Kluyveromyces lactis: one gene and its partners. The protein of the gene in region 1 binds, or shares a complex with, the protein of each later gene. Links are inferred from orthologs where the notes say so. Each region holds a gene or a part of one and is shown in the gene's direction. Other genes may lie near its edges. The genes, in order: RTC1, SEA4 and MTC5.

The links.
Region 2: the proteins of RTC1 (region 1) and SEA4 are in contact, whole or in part, in a cryo-EM structure (PDB 8ADL), measured with the Saccharomyces cerevisiae proteins. The link is inferred for Kluyveromyces lactis from reciprocal best matches to the Saccharomyces cerevisiae genes RTC1 and SEA4. Residues at the interface, in NP_014503.2 of Saccharomyces cerevisiae: Arg705, His1212, Glu1215, Phe1217, Gly1218, Ala1221, Asp1222, Leu1224, Lys1225, Met1233, Asp1238, Gln1239, Ser1240, Ser1241, Ile1242, Arg1243, Leu1244, Phe1245, Cys1246, Glu1247, Leu1252, Phe1278, Gly1279, Tyr1280, Trp1281, Thr1291, Ser1292, Val1294, Leu1295, Cys1296; in NP_009446.2 of Saccharomyces cerevisiae: Lys842, Glu845, Phe847, Ser848, Arg850, Ala851, Arg852, Asp854, Val855, Ser858, Arg862, Leu868, Ile872, Lys873, Pro874, Arg875, Gln876, Ile877, Tyr878, Ile879, Gln880, Gln882, Gln886, Asn887, Tyr941, Phe950, Pro951, Arg952, Cys953, Ala954.
Region 3: the proteins of RTC1 (region 1) and MTC5 are in contact, whole or in part, in a cryo-EM structure (PDB 8ADL), measured with the Saccharomyces cerevisiae proteins. The link is inferred for Kluyveromyces lactis from reciprocal best matches to the Saccharomyces cerevisiae genes RTC1 and MTC5. Residues at the interface, in NP_014503.2 of Saccharomyces cerevisiae: Asp548, Cys659, Ile661, Leu663, Ile668, Phe669, Ile672, Arg673, Lys676, Ile677, Asp866, Leu867, Thr868, Lys871, Ile872, Ile874, Leu875, Asp878, Ser879, Trp882, Lys885, Trp886, Ile1154, Ala1155, Pro1157, Pro1158, Trp1159, Lys1163, Leu1164, Gln1167; in NP_010413.3 of Saccharomyces cerevisiae: Asp818, Glu819, His822, Cys823, Gln825, Ile826, Asp829, Met830, Ile832, Asp833, Gln834, Asp838, Tyr840, Thr841, Trp844, Asn845, His847, Met849, Gly850, Trp853, Phe854, Glu857, Ala858, Tyr861, Phe862, Arg864, Pro995, Ile997, Val999, Leu1001.

Annotation. Positions count from the first base shown.
Region 1 is NC_006041.1:1,869,229-1,875,764, forward strand, and holds the start of RTC1 (Rtc1p), read left to right. Parts: upstream 1-2,998; coding exon 2,999-6,536. Other genes in the region: KLLA0_E20923g (uncharacterized protein), read left to right, coding at 1-296; KLLA0_E20945g (sugar porter family MFS transporter), read left to right, coding at 926-2,512. UniProt on the Saccharomyces cerevisiae protein: Component of the SEA complex which coats the vacuolar membrane and is involved in intracellular trafficking, autophagy, response to nitrogen starvation, and amino acid biogenesis. May be involved in a process influencing telomere capping.
Region 2 is NC_006041.1:580,912-587,192, reverse strand, and holds SEA4 (Sea4p), read left to right. Parts: upstream 1-2,360; coding exon 2,361-5,258; downstream 5,259-6,281. Other genes in the region: NTO1 (Nto1p), read left to right, coding at 1-2,169; PKC1 (protein kinase C), read left to right, coding at 6,039-6,281. UniProt on the Saccharomyces cerevisiae protein: Component of the SEA complex which coats the vacuolar membrane and is involved in intracellular trafficking, autophagy, response to nitrogen starvation, and amino acid biogenesis.
Region 3 is NC_006042.1:1,824,687-1,831,115, forward strand, and holds MTC5 (Mtc5p), read left to right. Parts: upstream 1-2,141; coding exon 2,142-5,543; downstream 5,544-6,429. Other genes in the region: ARO1 (pentafunctional protein ARO1p), read left to right, coding at 1-1,882; ERG27 (3-keto-steroid reductase), read left to right, coding at 5,803-6,429. UniProt on the Saccharomyces cerevisiae protein: Component of the SEA complex which coats the vacuolar membrane and is involved in intracellular trafficking, autophagy, response to nitrogen starvation, and amino acid biogenesis. May be involved in telomere capping.

The DNA of each region.
Region 1 (6,536 bases):
TTGACCAACAGGGTATACACTACAAACCAAACAACCTAAATTACAGTTGGGATATATTAACCTCGAAATGGAGACAATCACAAAGCGGAAAATCAAGGAACGATTACTTGAAAGCCAACATCCAGAACTACTATCAAGAATGCAATAAATCAGGGTTGGATGAATATGCTGCAGAAAAAATCAAGGATGCTAAGAGTTGGAAAGTGAACTATAGCGCCACGGAAGAAAAATCATCAAAGCCAAACTCAGACGCACAATCTACCCGTTCAAGTCATACCCAGTTAGAACAGATCTGATCAATATTACGTTATCGTGAGCTGATTAACGGTAGTTTTCAATGCGAGTACCAATTGGTTGATAGATTACCTTCGAATTCTTGTACTTTCAGTGTTGTTATTTTTTTTTTCTAAGGTAAAAAACTGGACGCTCTCGTCCATAGAGCTCTTCGGCAGCCTAATGATCTTGATACAGAAGACTTCATAACACCAATATGATCGACGTTTAGGAAACTCTAGCATCTGTACGAGGTTTCTCTGAAATGAAACTTTTTTTTATTGTGTCAGTTGTAATGTATGAAATGTGACGCAAGTCGGCATACAAAAAAAAAAATTCATGATACCAAAAGGAAATAATCCTCGATAAAGTGAGGTTGAATGTGGGAATTCGAGTTAGAAACTCTAGATGTGAAATCTCTATTGGAACTCAGTATTTATGACTTTTGGAAACTTTTCAATGTACGAAAATTTTGTATAAATACAGGACAAAGTACACTGTCTTGAACACTTGAAACTTGAATAACGTATTCTCGTCTTCAAGAATGATCAAAGGTCTCATTTAGAAACGCCTAATAAGTTTAAACTTACAAAATCACCCAGTGTCGATAACAAAACTTCAAGGATCTAGCTGTCATACATCAACAATTGAAATGTCCTTAGATACAGAATCATTTGAAACTGCTGAAAAAGCAATTGAGGTAGTCACAAAGGAAATGGTATCTTTGACAAATTACTCAGCCATTGGATCATTAACCAGTCAGTTATCTCAGAATGACACTAAGTCAGGTGGAATTGAACAGAAAAAGTTACCGTTGAAACCAATATTATTGTGTCTGGCTACTTCTTTTGCAGGGTTTATCTTTGGCTGGGATGTTGGCACAATTGGTGGGATTACAAACATGGTATCATTTCAAAACTTTTTTGGTACCAACTTTGATTCTTCGAGTAATACACACTACTTTCCAAAACTTCTTATTGGATTAATCGTTTCCATTTTCAATATCAGTTGCGCACTTGGTGGATTATTTCTAGTGAAGATTGCTGATATTAATGGAAGAAAACCAGGTATTTATGCTGCAATCACTATCTATTCGTTGGGAACATTGATTGGCTGGACATGTGGCTCCTCTTGGTGGTATTTCTTCTTCGCAAGGTTCATTTCAGGACTTGGTGTTGGTGCTACTGCGGTGATGATACCAATGTTTATAGCCGAATCTGCTCCCATCAACATTCGTGGTGCCATGGTTGTGCTCTACCAGTTAATGATCACTCTTGGAATTTTGCTCGGAAATGTCATCAACTATTGTTGCAGATCCACTTTACACGAAACAGATAATGCCACATGGAAGATCCCTGTAGGATTAGGAAACGTCTGGGCCGCTATCGTCGCGCTAGGTGTTCATTTTATGCCTGAATCACCAGTTTTTCTTACCAAGAGGTTAGGAAGCGCTCTCAAAGCTAAGGCAGCTTTTGCCCATATGAACAATTTGGACGTAGATGATCCAATTGTGGATAGTCATATTAGGAAGATGATGGAATCAGCTGACGCGGAGGTATCTACTCACAATGATATGAAGAACAGCAGGTTTGAATTCATACTCGGTCAACCAAGATTAGGTTTTAGACTATTTATTGGTATTATGGTGATGGCGTTTCAACAGCTATCCGGTGCAAATTACTTCTTCTATTATGGTACAACACTTTTCAACTCTGTGGGAATTGAAGACCCATACTTAACGTCGATTTTATTGTCTTCTGTCAACTTCATATCTACCTTTTTCGGTATTTATTTAGTTGAAAAGTTAGGCAGAAAAGCATGCTTAATTCTTGGTTCCGCGGGTATGTTTACCTGTATGTCCGTGTATGCGTCAGTCGGATCGTTCGCACTTAATAAGTCGCCTCAAAACTCTGGTGCGATTATGGTTACCTTCACGTGTGTTTACATCATGTTCTTTGCATGCACATCGGGACCTGTGTCCTTTGTCGTCATTTCGGAGTTGTTTCCAAGCAGGACAAAAGCGATATCCATGGCAGTGTGTACCTCAATCAATTGGCTTTGCAACTTCTTCATTTCTTTATGCACACCATATGTCACTGATAAGATAGGCTTCAAGTTTGGGTTCGTTTTTGCTGGTTGTCTATTTGTCTCATTCTGGTTCTTCACTTTCTTATTGAAGGAAACTAAGAACAAAACTCCTGAACAGGTTGACGCATTGTATTCTATTGACAAGCAATAGGCAATGGACCATACAGGTATACTTCTACAAACAAAGAAATTTACAATGAGCTCAACTGTTCACATAATCTACTGAAGCCTCCCGATTTCTCTGTTCGAGTGTGCGCTTGAATCGCTCTCCTTCATATAATTTCACTGTGTAAAACCTATTAACTTTCTCATTACGTATCATTTTACAAGTGTCTCAATGGCATTAAATTTGTAATTATTTCAGAAGAATTTTAATAACAAGGCATTTCTGTCTCCCAGCCCTGTGATATCTTAATACTTCTATTTACTCTTGTGTTGTTTTATCGGGCTCTCACTTATCAATCACCGAAGATGATTCCTGATTCCTCATATATTTACTCAACAAGAAAAAAAGGAAGAGATGGCAATATGTAATTGAAAATATGAAAGCACTCACATACTATGATTCAAAAATCCAGCAATTGGTTGTAAGCCAAATAAACCGGTGATCGAGAGCACTGAGTATTGTTGCTCAACGATGTTTAAAAGAGGTTCAAACAGAGCTACTTCGTCTTCTCAAGGGCAGCAACCAGAAAATCCTCCCTCTCTGAAATATCAGTCGTCAAGTTCACGATACTCTTTTCATCGACAGTACAACACAGGTTTTGGAACTTCACCTTTTAGGATATCACCTAAGTATAAACCAGATAGCCGCACTCCCTTCAGTTTTGATGGTACGGGAAATGTTGGACCAGAGAGCTCTCTTAATGAAGAAGAATCAAATGCAAGATGGAGACCTTCTGAAAGTTCATTTGACAAACGTAGAACTTTCCACGGCGCTAAATACTCTCTGAGTATCGGAAAGGAAGTCTCAAGTATAGATAAAATCAATTCACCGGAGAGCAGATCCTTGATAATAGCAGGAAAAAGCCATTTAGGTATTTACACTTTCGATGAAGATTCTAAGACGATAACTAATGTACATGATTTCTTACAGACAGCGAAGACAAATACTGGGATCACGAAGAACACTTCATCGACACTACGGAGAACAACAAAAAAAATTTCAACCATATCTGATGTTAAAGCTGGCTTTTACAATCACAAAAACTATGTAGCAATTTGTGGTACTTCAACGTCTGTTGCGATTTACGATATTAATAAGACATCAGCGATAGACAATCCAGTTGTAACATCTCTCTCAGAACATACAAGATCTATCAATAGTGTGGATTTCAATATGGTGCAGACAAGCTTATTAATTAGCGGTGGACAAGATGGATGCATAAAGATTTGGGATTTGAGATCTCCTAAAATCTCCACCACTAGGAGTGATGTAAGTATCAACACCGGGTCTGATTCCATTAGAGACGTAAAATGGATGCCTTCTTACGAGTTTTCTAATGATACCAATGGTCTTTCAAACAGACATTTCAAATTTGCCAGTGTGCATGACTCTGGATTATTATTGAAGTTTGATTTGAGACAACCAAACCAAGCTGAAAAAAAGATTAATGCACATTCTGGTCCCGCCTTATGTTTGAATTGGCATCCGCATCAGGACTACATTATTAGTGGTGGAAGAGACGGAAAATGTTGCTTGTGGTATGTAGGCGACAAATCTAATCAAGTTGGTAACATTAGTAGTACCAACCTCAATTCAAGTAATCCAGCAACGCATAATTTATCATCATCATACCCCTTGGGGCTATCCAACACCCTTGCATTTCCTGAGCTCACAATAAATACCGCTCGTTCCATGAATAAACTTAAGTTTCGTCCAAAATATGAGACGAATGTATTCAATTCATTGATTGGGACTTCATCCATGGGCGAAGATTCGGATGTATCTGTTTATTCGCTAGCAAGAAAATATATTCCTAAAAACGTTATTGCTTCCAGTGCACCTTCTGTTGGTTTTGTCTGGTGGGATGACGACACGATATTCAATATAGACAAGCAAAATACCGTTACTGGGTGGGATATCTCTCATGAACCGACTGTACTTGATAATTTGCCGAAAAACACAATAAAATGGAGAGATTTGGATGGCGATGGTATTCTGTTTTTGGACCAAAAACCAGGTGGGTATTTGTCTCAAGAAGAGACAGTTTTGACACCAGGTAGTGGAGAGAATCGCAAGATGCCTTTCACACACAGAATGAGTAGTGCAACTGCTAACAGTTTTACTGGAGGAAATAATCCTAACATTACAAGCAACACAAGTAGCAGTGCCGCAAGTTTCTCAAAAAACCCGACACTTGGCATGTCTCAACTTCACCAGGGCAACGTATTAGGTGAAAGGTCAACTATGTCAAAGCATGCACAATCCGTTAACAGCAAATTTTCGCCTTCGGTTAACAGCTCGCCGTGGACCAATCCGTATTCGTCCCCTCATCATAACTCAATCGTGTCAGGATCGGAATCGGCATTACATGCGGTTAATGATTCCTTTCTACAATCTCCATATTTGATAGGATTAGACTTTCCGCATATTTTGAACACAATACGGAACACTAGGCTCGCAGAATTTAACAGAAAGGTCGAAAGTGCAGCTTTATTAGAATTAAAGTCATCTCCAACTGAAGTTTTCAAGTTTTTAGCACGGGAATTGAAGTTTTCGTATAAATATAACAGTATTGAAACAAAAGACAACGGCCGAGAGCTTGATTCATCGAGCACACATGGCTCAGTGGATTCTAAAACGAATTTGATGGAAAAGTTGGGGTTATCTGAAAATAATACTTGGACTCATTTGATCAAATATACGAAATCTCACGACTCTGACGAAGTCATATCGAAAGGCACAGAGCTTAAAACACCAGTTTCTGACAAAAGTGCTAATATCGAAAAATCAGCTACGAATCATAAAGCTGAAACCAATCAGGATGAGAACAGTTCCTGCATCAACTCTTCAAACCAGGTAAAAACCAAAAACCTCATCGAACTGATAACTCTATGTGATAAGAACGCTGAAATTTATATCATGCTTGAGGACTTTTCAAACTACAAAATTTGGCTTCTAATGCGGGATTCATTATTATGGGACTTGAAAGTCCTAACCGAGTCAATGGCTGTTGACGTGACAGCTGACCAAGAAGTCAACGATCAATCGTCCATTGACCAACCTTGGAAAAAAAATGACAGTTTTACTAGCTTGAAAGAGGCAAGGCAAGCATCTGTTGCTAGTGGCTACAGTTCATATAGTGCTACGGATCTGAGCTCCTCGGTAAATACAAATAATAGACATTCTTTCAACGAACCCACTCATCTAACCCAAACTCCTCCAGTATCACATTTAAAGGCTCAACTTCAAGGTTCAAAAGAAACTACGACTATATCGAGGGCTGACTCGATTCAAAATTCGTTACAGAACGATATCATCGAAATTAGAAAGCTGCGTCAATCTCATGGAGATAGAGCAGAACTAGCAATTGATGAAGAGGAAGAAGGAGAAGAAAGAGAGGAACTTACAAAAAGGGCGTTCGAAGAAGATGAAAACAATAAACAATTCATTAATATCCCAAGAAGGGAATCAGGGCCTAGCGCTCTCATGCCGAGTCCTTCTCATGTTTCCTCACAAAGCGAAATTCCTTCAAATCCGGAAAACCATCACCAGCCACGTCGGCCGCGGACATCTTTTATAGACTCCTTCATGTCACAATTACGTTCTCCAGGATCGTCAAATGTTGATGCTGATAGGGAAAGTACTGGTAGCAAAAAATCTTCCATGCCAAGCTTTAGCTCTTCGGCTGCCACATTTTTGAATAGCAAGAAATCGCAAAACGCGAATCATAATAAATTGAAAAGCGCAACTGAAGTATCAGATATATTGGAATCTGAATTTGCTACTCAAAAATCATGGAACGGGAGCGTTGCAAAAACTACAACTCAAATGTCTGGTATTACTGCTCTTATGAATGAAACTAAAAAACTGGAAAATACTATTACCCCACCTTGGTCATCAAGGCGATTAATTCATCAATTATACGAACAGAGTGTTGCTTCAGGAAATATCCTACTAACGATGGCAATTTTGTTATTATTTCAAGATATGTTTCAACTTGTTGATACAG
Region 2 (6,281 bases), about 1.3 Mb from region 1:
GACGGCGTTAGGCTTCGAGAAGAAGTTAGTTTTAAGCATTTCTATCCGGATTTAGACGTAAATGACCTTGTCCTTTTTGGGAAAAATAATCATGATGAGTTGAATGATCGTCATCGCCACGATGAAGAAGAAGTGTATCCTGACGATAATTTGCGAGAACATTTGAAGTCATGGAAACAATTGATCGTAAACGATAGCATAACAATCGAAATGCTAGGACCTCAAATCAAGAACGCAGAGTTCAAGCGCTGTAAGATTCGGATATCACAGCTAAATCCTCATGGCAAGGTTAATAAACAGTTGGTAAAATACGGATACAGATCTCATGCAGATCGTACTTGCGGATTAGATCAAAAGTCATACTGTAAGAAGACTGATCTATTGATGAAGCATAGCAATGAGTTTTTTGCTGATGTTTCGCCATACCAGGTTAATTTTAAGGTAGAGTATGATATGGATGAGCAAGATGACTTATTCCTTCGGCACTTAAATACGGCACTGACAAATTCTAAGCATAAGTTATCACACGAAGTTTTCGAAATAGTTATTACGATATTAGAGAACGAAGCTTTCCATTTAGAGAAGAAAATTCCACCAAGAGTATCACCTAGTGCTACTAATAATACGCATGAATCTCATGCTGCCTGGAAGCATCATGAGTTATACGGATCAGACGACGGTACTGGATACCCAATGGATCAACCGTGTGCAGTATGTGGAGGCATAGAATGTGATAATTCGAATGCGATAGTATTTTGCGATGGTTGCGATATCGCCGTACATCAGGAATGCTATGGTGTAGTTTTCATTCCAGAAGGTCAGTGGCTTTGCCGAAGATGCATGATATCCAAAAATAGAAAGCTCGAGTGTCTCTTTTGTCCCAGTACCACTGGAGCTTTCAAACAAACGGATAACGGATCGTGGGGCCATGTGTTATGTGGAATTTGGATACCAGAGCTTTATTTCGGAAATCTACACTATATGGAGCCGATTGGAGGAATAGAGAATATCCCGAAAAGTCGATGGAAGCTCACATGTTATATTTGCAAACAAGAGGTCGGTGCTTGCATCCAATGCTCGAATAAGAACTGTTTTGCAGCGTATCACACTACGTGCGCTAAAAGAGCTGGATTATACATGAACTTCAATGGATGTACAGTTCAAGAGGCTGCCTCAAAAAACTTTTCCACAGGTGCTTTCCTGGAAAGTTTTTGTCACAAACATTCTCCTAACGGCTGGAGTAGCTGTGAAGACGGAATTCGTAAAACTAGGGATTATTTTAATCACATTAATCATCACAAGGTGCTACAAGACAGTGCCGTGGAAGAAAACAAGCAATCTGCCAAGAAAACCATTAAGAATAAATGGAAAACCAGTAGGGGAACTTTAATTGCACCTCAAGCCTTCGCAGATATTACAATGAGAGTTTTAAACAGATTTCATGTTCCAAATTCCGAGCAAATTTCGTTGGATATATGCAAGTACTGGACAATGAAAAGAGAACTCAAAAGAGGCGCTCCTTTGGTAAGAAAGTTCAGCCCATCTTCTTTGAATACTCTAGATACCGAAGAGCTAAATGACAGAATCGTATTCTCAGAAGTTCTTTTGAGAGACCTCAATTCATTGGAAGGTCTTGCATCATCTTTGGTGGCTAAACAAGAATGTAATGTTGAAAGGGTAAGAAACCAAAGGATCATAAACGACATTGCGTTCCATCCGATAAGGTATATATTGAAGGATGTTGTGTGGAACAATCTCACAAAGACTTTATCTTTTAAATCTTTTGCAGACCTCGAATCATCTTCAAATTTCAAGGTCATACCTTACATTAGCTCCAGGCTTGAAAATGATGAATACTTATCTGTCCAAGAATTCAAGGATGAATTTGTTGGAAATATAGTGAAAATAACATCCAATGAGAGGTCACCGAGATCACTGGTAATAATGGGATCTAAGCTCATCAACGATCTTAACAAACTTTTATCTAAGATTGATGAGTTAGATGTACATACTTTATTACATGACGATTTCGATATAGATGAGAGAACACATCAAGTAGAAGAGGTTAATTGGAAGGGCCGGAAAATACTTGCACGCGAAGGACTAGCTGATGTTGAAGATTTATCGATCAAACAGGAAAGACAATTGAAAGGACTACTACGTGACTGAATTATCCATCAAGTTTTCGTTCACTCAGTACTTAACTCTCCTGTTCCTATGTACATATATCCGGGTAATAAAACTATATACGGTAAATTATTTCAAGATAACTTCAGAATGAGTGATAAGATGCATCAAATAATATTACGGTATTCAATGTAGTAAAGCATCTGTCGAGGCCAATCCACCAGTATTACTTCATGGGCTTGATTAAACGCGTTCCTTGTTGGCCAAATGTGGAAGGGTTGGATTTTTTGTCTGTTAATCCTACAAGAGATGAAGTTTCTCATTACCGAGTGAAGCTGGATGTGGAGACAGACGAGTCCATCGTTAAGGTGAATACAGTAAAGGACTTTGGAAATATAACATGTCTAGATTACTCTAATACAGATGAAGGTATAGTAGGTGTCGGTGAGAAAAGCGGTGTTGTACGGTTATTTAATATTTTGGATACGGACGATGCATACGAGCCGTTCGATCTACGAGTACGAGCAAAGCACCAGCGAACTATCAACAGTTTGAGTATAAATACAAATGGCCTAATAGCCATGGGTTTAGATCGCAATAAGCATGATGCCTCTGTACAGGTGTGGGATGTAAACTACCAAAGCACGGAATCAAATGTTATCACACCATCTTTTTCATATTGTTTGAACGAAAGTATCGTGTCATTGAAATTTGTCGACGATACCAGCATCTTAGCTGCAAGTTCAAAACTCTTGAAAGAAATTGACCTTAGAGCTCCTAATCCTATATACCAGCATCCAACTCGTGTCTCATATGACATCAAGATAAATCCTTTTAACCCTTGGCAATTCTCAACATATGCTGACGATGGTACGTTGGCCTTTTGGGATAGAAGAAAGCTAGCAAGTAACTCTGAAGACACTGAGTTTTTGGAGGCACAACCATTACTTAAATTTGACAAACTTGTTGGTCATGGTGCAGCTTCTAGAAAATATATGAATTCATGTTTCAGATGGTCTCCATTGAGAAGTGGAGAGTTTTCGACATTACACGCAGGCACTACAATTAAACGCTGGAGATTGGCCAACGTACCAGATTTAGAGTCGAATAACGAACTAAATGATTCCTTGTTCGTTTCCACGGTGAATGACATTAAAACGACTTTTGATCGTGTTGTTACCTTCGATTATATACCCAAGAGTACTGGCAGAACAAGTCTTCTATGCATGAGACAATCCGGAACTATCTATCGGATGAATGTCGAACAAGGATTTTCACAATCGAAAATCAATAACTACAATAGCATAATGTCTATCTCAGATCAAAACAATGATGTCAACGAATTGAGAATAACAGGTGAGGATGAAGTTTCATTGCTGGAAAATTTAGATACCGGGCTAAAAAACTTGTCTTTCGAAGACCTGGATACAGGAGATGACTTGAAGATATTAACTCTGGATGAAAAAAAATCATCCGGAAGTATGGAAGATGACGGCGATTACTTGAGTGATTCTGAAGACGTTAAAGAGTTTTACATCGAGGCAGAGAAGCTGTTACAGAATGATATAAGTTTTATAATGCGTAAACGCGCGAGTCTGGGATATGGTCTTGATCCAATGAAAACTGTCGAAATGATGGATAAATCCGATAACTTCAATAACAATATCTACATTCGCAATACTTGGAGATGGATGGCGATAGCGAAGGCATCCATAGCTGACGGAACAATGGTTTCAGGAGACTTAGATTTAGGCTACGAAGGCGTTTTAGGGATATGGAATGGTCTTGAAGGTCTCTCCAATCAGAATCGTTATAGATCTGGAGGAATGCTCACAGAAAAGCAGTTAAACAAGGAATTGGAGAAGATCATTAAGATGAGAAGCAAGAGTAAAAACAAAATTGGGAATGTTTCCAGTTTAAATTCCGAAATGTCATCAAAAAAGGCCATTCAGAGAAGACTCTGTATGATTATTAGTGGCTGGGATTTGTCTCCTTCAGATTACGAAGAAAAATATAAATCACTAATAGCTCAAAATCACTATGAGAAAGCTGCTGCCTGGGCTGTCTTCTTCGGTGACGTTCAGAAAGCTATATCTATTTTGGGATCTGCAAATAAAGAACGTCTTAGACTCATTGCTGCGGCCATTGCAGGTTATCAAGCTTATAGTGAAAAGCCAGGTGACAATGCATGGAGACAGCAATGTAGAAAAATGGCTGCTGAGCTTGATGATCCCTATTTGAGAGTCATTTTTGCATTCATTGCAGACAATGATTGGTGGGATATCCTGTATGAGAGCGCTATCTCTCTAAGGGAAAGGCTTGGTGTTGCTCTTAGATTTCTAAATGACACAGATCTAACCAGATTTTTAGAAAAAACTGCTACTACTGTTATTGAAAATGGTGAACTAGAAGGATTGATCTTGACTGGTATAACGCCTAATGGTATTGATCTTCTACAATCGTACGTTGGAAAGACTAGTGATATTCAAACTGCTGCACTAATTTCAGTTTTCGGCTCCCCAAGATACTTCATGGACCCAAGAGTTGATGAATGGGTTGAAACATATCGCCATATGTTAAATTCCTGGGAATTTTTCACTATGAGGGCCAAGTTCGATGTGCTCAAGACAAAATTATCTAGGACTAGTGATGGTCGAATTACAGCGAAGTTAAAACCTCGTCAAATGTATTTACAATGTTCCAAATGTAAGAAGAATATCAACAGACCCATTGATGTGTCTTCTAATGCATCCCTACCAAGACATGCTAATCAAAACTTAAATGCAGGAAAGAAATTCGGCCTCAATAATACAAACGGTGATGTCCCCCAACAGAAACATTCATGTCCACATTGTGGCACGCCTTTCCCAAGATGTGCTATTTGTCTCTTGCCATTGGGTACTTCAAATCTCCCCATAGTCATCAATGGCACCACCAACTCATGTGAAGTACGAATCGATGACGACGCGAAAATTAACGAGGTCAAGGAAAGAAAGCGTTTGAAAATGAACGAATGGTTCAGTTTCTGTCTCAAGTGTAATCATGGTATGCATGCCGGTCATGCAGAGGAATGGTTTGAAAGACATTCAATTTGTCCTGTTCCTGGGTGTTCGTGTTTATGCCATCAATGAAACACTCTACCAATATTTCGGACCTAAACGCTCTAGGATAAATCATTAAACTTGTTATTCAGCGTATATAATCTCTTTAATCCTTAACCTCGCCAAAAACTCATTTCTCCCACTATTAGTACATACAAATATCTCATATGCAGATATCAAGCGGCTGAACGTTGCTTTCAGAATGAATCATTACGCATCCACAAAATAATGATACTAGCAACGCAGTACCATACTTGGAAAACTTCCCCGAGCATATTCATCGAGTTATAGGATGGACCGTGGTTCAGCGATGGAACTTAAAGCCATCTTTTCCATCATTGCCCACCGTCATTCGCATGAGCGCAAGCCTCTTCACGTGACTAGTTAAGATTCCCCGATCAGTTGAAATGCGTGAGCTCTATTTCAGGAAATCATGTGGCGAAACTAAGAAAATAAAAAGTTTGATCTATCCAGATACAAACAAATATATGGTTTTTTTTGATCTCAACAATATCTTTAAGGATACCAAAAACTAAAGGAAAGAACGACTATAAACAACGGTTTATTAAGTCAGTTTAGTTGGGACTTTTTTTTTCGTTGAATATTTCTCTTACAAACATTTTTTTCTCAGTGGTTTGGGATCTTAAAATATTGGTATTCTGGGCGAACACAGCTTGAAATTGTTTCAGATCAGATCCTGTCAAAGTGGTGCGTTGATTCTATTTCATGAACTTATAAGGCACCAACTAGCCATCTAACGTATGAACACTCTGAACTGAGCATAAAAAGATATTACTATTGTATGAAACTATGGATGAAGATCGTAAACACACTGCATTCCCTGTTGAACAGGACATCTACAAAAAGATCGAAAGGGAAAGAAACATTATACTGGGTTCGAATCAATTGAAGAAAAAGACTGATAATGTCATGGTCATACAGAAATGCAACACCAATATTAGAGAGGCTCAACAAAATATAGAGTACTTGGAACAAATTCTAGCTAAGTTGAGAGTCAGTCAACAGCCAGACAATACTCCTACCAGCCAGAAT
Region 3 (6,429 bases), on another chromosome or scaffold:
CAAGGGCTATGTGTTATCTTCTGGCGGTGGAATTGTTGAAAGATCAGAATCAAGACAGGCTTTGAAGAGGTTTGCCGAAAGCGGCGGTATCGTCCTACATCTTCACCGTGATATCGAAGAGACAATCGTTTTCCTAAAGAGCGACCCAACTAGACCAGCTTACATTGAAGAAATTCGCGATGTGTGGGAAAGAAGAGAAAAGTGGTACCATGAATGTTCGAACTTTACCTTCTTTGCGGCTCATTGCTCCAATGAAATTGAATTCAGGAATTTAAGACATGTGTTCAGCAACTTCATTCGTCGTGTACTTGGCGCTGAAAAGATTCCTGTACCTTCCAGGAGATCAGCTTTCGTCTGTTTGACTTTCGAAGACCTATCGGATCATTTGTCAAAATTGGATGAAATAACCTATGGTTGTGAAGCAGTAGAACTAAGAGTTGATCATTTATCATCCTTTTCTTCAGACTTTGTCACCAAACAAATCTCCTTGTTAAGAGCTGCAACCAAATCGCTACCTATTGTTTTCACTGTGAGAACAGTTAGCCAAGGAGGGAAATTCCAAGATGATGATTATGATTTACTTGAATCATTGTTGAAGGTCGCTCTGAAGAACGCTGTTGAATACATCGATTTAGAGTTGACATTGCCTAACAACATACTCTACAATGTTTTGAACAAGAAATCAAACACAAAGATTATTGGCTCCCATCATGATTTTGCAGCTAAATTCCCATGGGATGATGCTGAATGGGAAAATAGATATAACCAAGCTCTTTCTTTAGACGTGGACATTGTGAAGTTCGTTGGCACAGCAGTAAGCTTCGATGACAATTTGGCTTTGGAAAAATTCAGGTCCACTCATACTTTGAAGCCACTAATTGCTATCAATATGACTGAAACAGGTAAGCTATCCAGGGTGCTAAATAATATTTTGACACCTGTTACCTCCAAGTTACTACCATCCGCCGCTGCCCCTGGTCAATTGACACTAGCTGAAATCAACCAATTGTATCACCAAATCGGTGGATTACCAGCCAAGAAGTTCTTTGTTATTGGTTCTCCAATTGGACATTCCAGATCTCCGATCTTGCACAACACTGGGTATGAGCTACTAGGCTTACCTCATCATTTTGATAAATTCGAAACTGAAGATATCGAAGTAGTTAAGAAAGAACTTTTGACCAGAGAAGATCTCGGTGGCTTAGCTGTAACCATCCCATTAAAACTAGATATTATTGATAGTATGTTTGAATTGAGCGAAGCCGCAAAGACCATTGGCGCTGTAAACACTGTTATTCCTTTAGGAAAGAACAAATTCAGGGGTGACAATACTGATTGGTTAGGTATCAAAAACTCTTTGGTTTCAAATGGTGTTCCTAGTTCTGTTAGTGGTTCTGCAGGTCTGATTATCGGTGCTGGTGGTACTTCAAGAGCTGCTATATACGCTTTGAAACAAATTGGTTGTGACACCATTTATATGCTCAACAGAACCACGGAGAAACTACAAAAGCTGAAATCCGAATTTTCCGAAGAATATAAGATTGTTGTCGTCGAATCTGCCGAACAAACAGAGTCAATTAAGGAACAAGTTTCTGTTGCTGTTTCTTGTGTTCCAGCTGATAAGCCTTTAGATCCAGAGTTACTAAACAAATTGGAAAGACTTTTGGCAAAAGGTACAAATAGCTCCTTCAAACCAACCTTGTTAGATGCCGCATATAAGCCTTCAGTGACCCCTATCATGAAGCTCGCACGTGATAAGTTCAACTGGAATATCGTTCCGGGCGCTGAAATGTTGGTTCATCAAGGTGTGGAACAATTTTCTAAATGGACAGGTGCAAAACCACCATTTAAAGCTATCTTTGATGCAGTTACCCAAGAATAGATAAAACATTAGATACATTTAAACTTCAAATAACGTCACGAATGATTAATAATAGCTTTCTAACTCCCCTTTTTATGTATGTCTAATCCACTATTTGTTAATATTCCTTAAAGCATTATTAACTGTTGATAGGAAAAAATGAATCATGAATATATAATGAAACAAAGCACAATTCAATAGGAAACATCATTCGTATATTGAATTCTAGTAAGGTTCGTGTTTTTTAGAGGTTTCGATATAAGCCACACTTTGAGATTGAATGTCTGAATACGTAGGGGAAGGTCCTTACTCATCACCAACCTTCGGGAAATCACTTTCTCTTCGGGTTGATGGTGGATTTAATGCTGTTTCTATCAATCCATCTGGTAGAGATGTCGTATTAGCCAGTCGAAAGGGCCTTTATGTGGTAGACTTGGATGATCCTTTCTCAGAGCCTCGATGGTTACACCATCTCACGTCTTGGGAGGTTGCTGACGTGCAGTGGTGCCCGCATCCGGCCAAGCATCACTGGGTTATATCTACGTCGAATCAAAAAGCAATTGTATGGAATCTATCTAGAAGCTCTTCTAAAGCAGTGGAGCATGTATTACATGGCCATTTCAGAGCCATTACAGATATAAATTTCCACCCGTTGCAACCAGAAATCCTAGCTACTAGTTCAATTGATACTTACGCCCTGGCTTGGGATATGAGAAGCCCCAAGAAGCCTTATTTTAGAACCAGTAACTGGAGATCTGGTGCTGCACAAGTCAAATGGAATCACAAAAATTCCAATGTATTAGCAACCTCGCACTCGAATATCGTGTATGTTTGGGATGTAAGAAAGGGTACATCTCCGTTATCTGTATTAGAAGGTCATAGCGGAAGCGTTAATAGCATCGACTTCAATCCATTCAACGAAACCGAAATCATGTCAAGTGGGAATGACGGAACGGTAAAGTTCTGGGATTATAATAAAGTTGAAGATGAACTACAGATGACAATTACCACAGAGTTTCCTGTGTGGAGAGGACGATATCTCCCGTTTGGGGACGGATATTGCATCATGCCGATGATAGGAGGAAATAATTCTGTATATTTGGCGAACTCTTTTCATGACTCAGGCAATTCTGAGTCAAGGACTACCAAACTACAGCCAACGTACGTTTTCAAGGGGCATACAGATAGAGTCACGGACTTCTTATGGAGATCGAGGCACAGTCAAAATACCATCATTGATGACAGAGAATTCCAATTGGTTACTTGGTCCAAAGATTGCGATTTAAGACTATGGCCAGTACCCGATATGGTTTACGACAAAGTTCACTACGAATGTGGCAAAGAGCTGCCGGAGAAGCTACCAGATTATGATTACGACACTTTTAGATCAGAACCTGAAAATAATATAGTAGATCCCCGGTACACAAATATAGAAATTCCGAAGGAAACCTTTGTTACAAAATCCGGACTACGCCAATGGAAAGCTGACAACAATATAGATCAACTACAATGGATTTCGGGTGTGAGAATGCATAACGAAGATTCACCGCATGATCTATTTGAAGAGGTGAGTTTAAACAATCTTGGAGAAGAAGTCACTTCCGTTGGGCACAAGTTCCCTAGAATTGTTTTTGAAAAAATTTCGGTTTCGACAGGAGAGTTAATTATTACTTTAAATGGTCCATGGGTGGAAGAAGATCCAGAAAAATACATTTTCATGCGTATTATTATTAACTTCCCGCCAAACTACCCCATGAAAGGAAATGAACCTGCGTTCAAGATTGAAGAGAACAGGGAATTAAAAGAACATCAAAAAACTCAGATAATGGAACGACTAAGAGAAATCAGCAAAAAATATGTCGATGCAAATCGATATTGCCTTGAGCCGTGTTTACAGTACCTACTTGGAGAAGAAGTTAACTTGGATATTTCCGACATGGAGGACGACAATAAAATTTTCAGCTTTGATTTCGAAGATGTAACTTCTTTAGATAGATCATCTTTGGGTTCATCTGATGATCATAGCGATGCTCCTACAGAGATTTCTTCTGTATCAGATGTTGAATTCGCTGTCGGGGATGGTTCTTTGCAATTGTATTCTAGTACACCAGAACCAAAATTTGATAGCACACCTGTCCCCAACGGTTGTGGAGCAGTTTGGACCGCTCAAGGAACCCTTGTTTGCTTCTTTAGAGCTGAGAATAAAACTGAAAAAAAGCAACACGCCATAATCAATGTTGGTAGAACTGGTATTGGAGGTTTTGTGAGATCAAAAAATGTCCAGAGTGCGTCACAAACTTTGAAGGATAACGTATCGGGAAAACAAAGAAAGCCAAAAACTTATAGAGAAGCGCTATCCATAAACTCACAACATGCCAGTGAATCACTAAATCAATCATCAGATTCGGATTCAGATGATAGTGATGATAGCTATGCTGAGTTCTTGGATGATATATTGAAAAATGATCTCACACTAAGGACTAGGATGCCAATGATGCCACGCATATTCCGTGATGAGACGAAATCTACTACGAGTGTATCCGGAAAAACCACCGATTCAAATAAAAAAAGCAAGTCATCTATAGTCGTTCAAGATTTTAAAAGTTTGATTCCCGACAAAAAAGAGCTAGCTGAACAGTATATTTTATTTCGGGAAACTCCTGAATTTGTTGCGAAGTACAATGCAGGCATTGCGGAAAGTTACGGCTATGAAGATATCGCGCAATGCTGGAGAATGATTTCTAATGTTTTAATAGGAAGAGGAGATAACGATTTCTACAATTATGATTGGGACCAGCATTCATTGGGTGGTAAACTTTTAGTGAAAAGACTATTCGAGTATTTTGAGAAGTGCCAAAATCTTCAAATGCTTGCAATGATGAGCTGCATCTTTGCTACGCTTGGAAGGCCAGATCAGAAAACAAATTATAAACTAGTTCCGCCTACTTTATCAGAAAACATCATTACATTTTATAACAATGAATACGAGCCATCGCCACATGTTCATTCCACTCACGGATCGTTCTACTCTAATGACACAGGTACACAAAATGCGAGAATGAGATATGGCACCAATCAAGCCTCATTGAACGATGGCTCTTCTATCATATCTGATGATTATTTCCATCAAAATCATCATGCTAACGGAAACAAGAACGGGAAATCCCATAATAATATGAACAATGGGTATGTAGAAACTGAAGCGACAATTCCCGATATCAAGATCAAACTAATTCATGACGATGTTTTGGATCTTGCCTACCAAGGTCTGGAACCTTCGTTGGTAGATCCGAAATGTGAAACCAAGTTCAGACAATATAGAACGCAATATGCAGAGATACTTTATATATGGGGGTTGCCTATGGATAGGGCCGAGTTGTTGAAGTTTAATGTAAATTTAAACACAGAACCTGAATACTTGCATGGGATCGAACAAGATTCGGGATTGGATATTTACAAAGGTGTATCGAATAGGTGGATTGAATCTAACCACGGACACACTCAACAAAACTGTAGCTACTGTGGCCTCAAAGCCGGTAGATTGGTGTTCGTATGCGGTAATTGTCAGCACGTGACTCACAGGACTTGCGCAGAAAAATGGTGGAAAATTGGCGATGAGTGCCCCTCTGGGTGTAGTTGCGACTGTATAAAGAACTTCGATGTCAGCGAACCACTTATATAAAATGCATCTTATGTAGCAGTGTCTTATCGTTCATCTTCTTTTAACCATCAGTCGTTGATACACCTTCTTTCCTGGGTTTTAATGATATTTAAACGAGATGATAAACCTTCCGGAATTCTGAAAGAACTAGAAAACCAAATAGATGGTGATGATGATGCGACACAAGCGAAAAATTCCAGGCTACAGGAACCGTTCCCGTCCATTAGCACTGATTTACGTATACTAGTAGCTATTGAGTACCAATAATTTCAAAACCAGCATGTCTTCGTCAAAGGTAGCAGTGGTCACTGGTACAAACAGTAATTTAGGTTTGAATATCGTATATCGGTTGATTGAGAGAAGCGAGCCAGAGGACAACCTCACGATAGTTGTGACATCAAGAACATTACCTAGGGTTCGTGAATGCATTGATTTAATTAAGGCTTTTGTCAATACCATTAATAGGACTGGCTCTGTAGATTATGATTACCTGCTGGTTGATTTTACCAACATGATCAGCATTCTTGATGCCCACTACAGCTTGTCAAAAAGATACGATCACATCAATTACTTCTTTGTGAATGCAGCTCAAGGAGTTTACTCAGGGATTGACTGGTTGGGTGCAGTGAAAGAGGTCTTCTCCAGTCCACTGGAGGCCGTCACAAACCCAACATATAAAATTCAACGAGTGGGAGTCAAATCAAAGGACGGGATGGGGCTTGTGTTCCAGGCAAACGTGTTTGGACCATATTATCTAATTCAAAAACTGCTTCCGTTACTCCAGGCTGGACAAGGTACTGTCGTTTGGGTCTCTAGTATCATGTCCGCTCCTAAATATTTGTCTTTACAAGATATTCAGCTATTGGAATCCGATGTTTCTTATGAAGGTTCAAAAAGATTAGTTGAT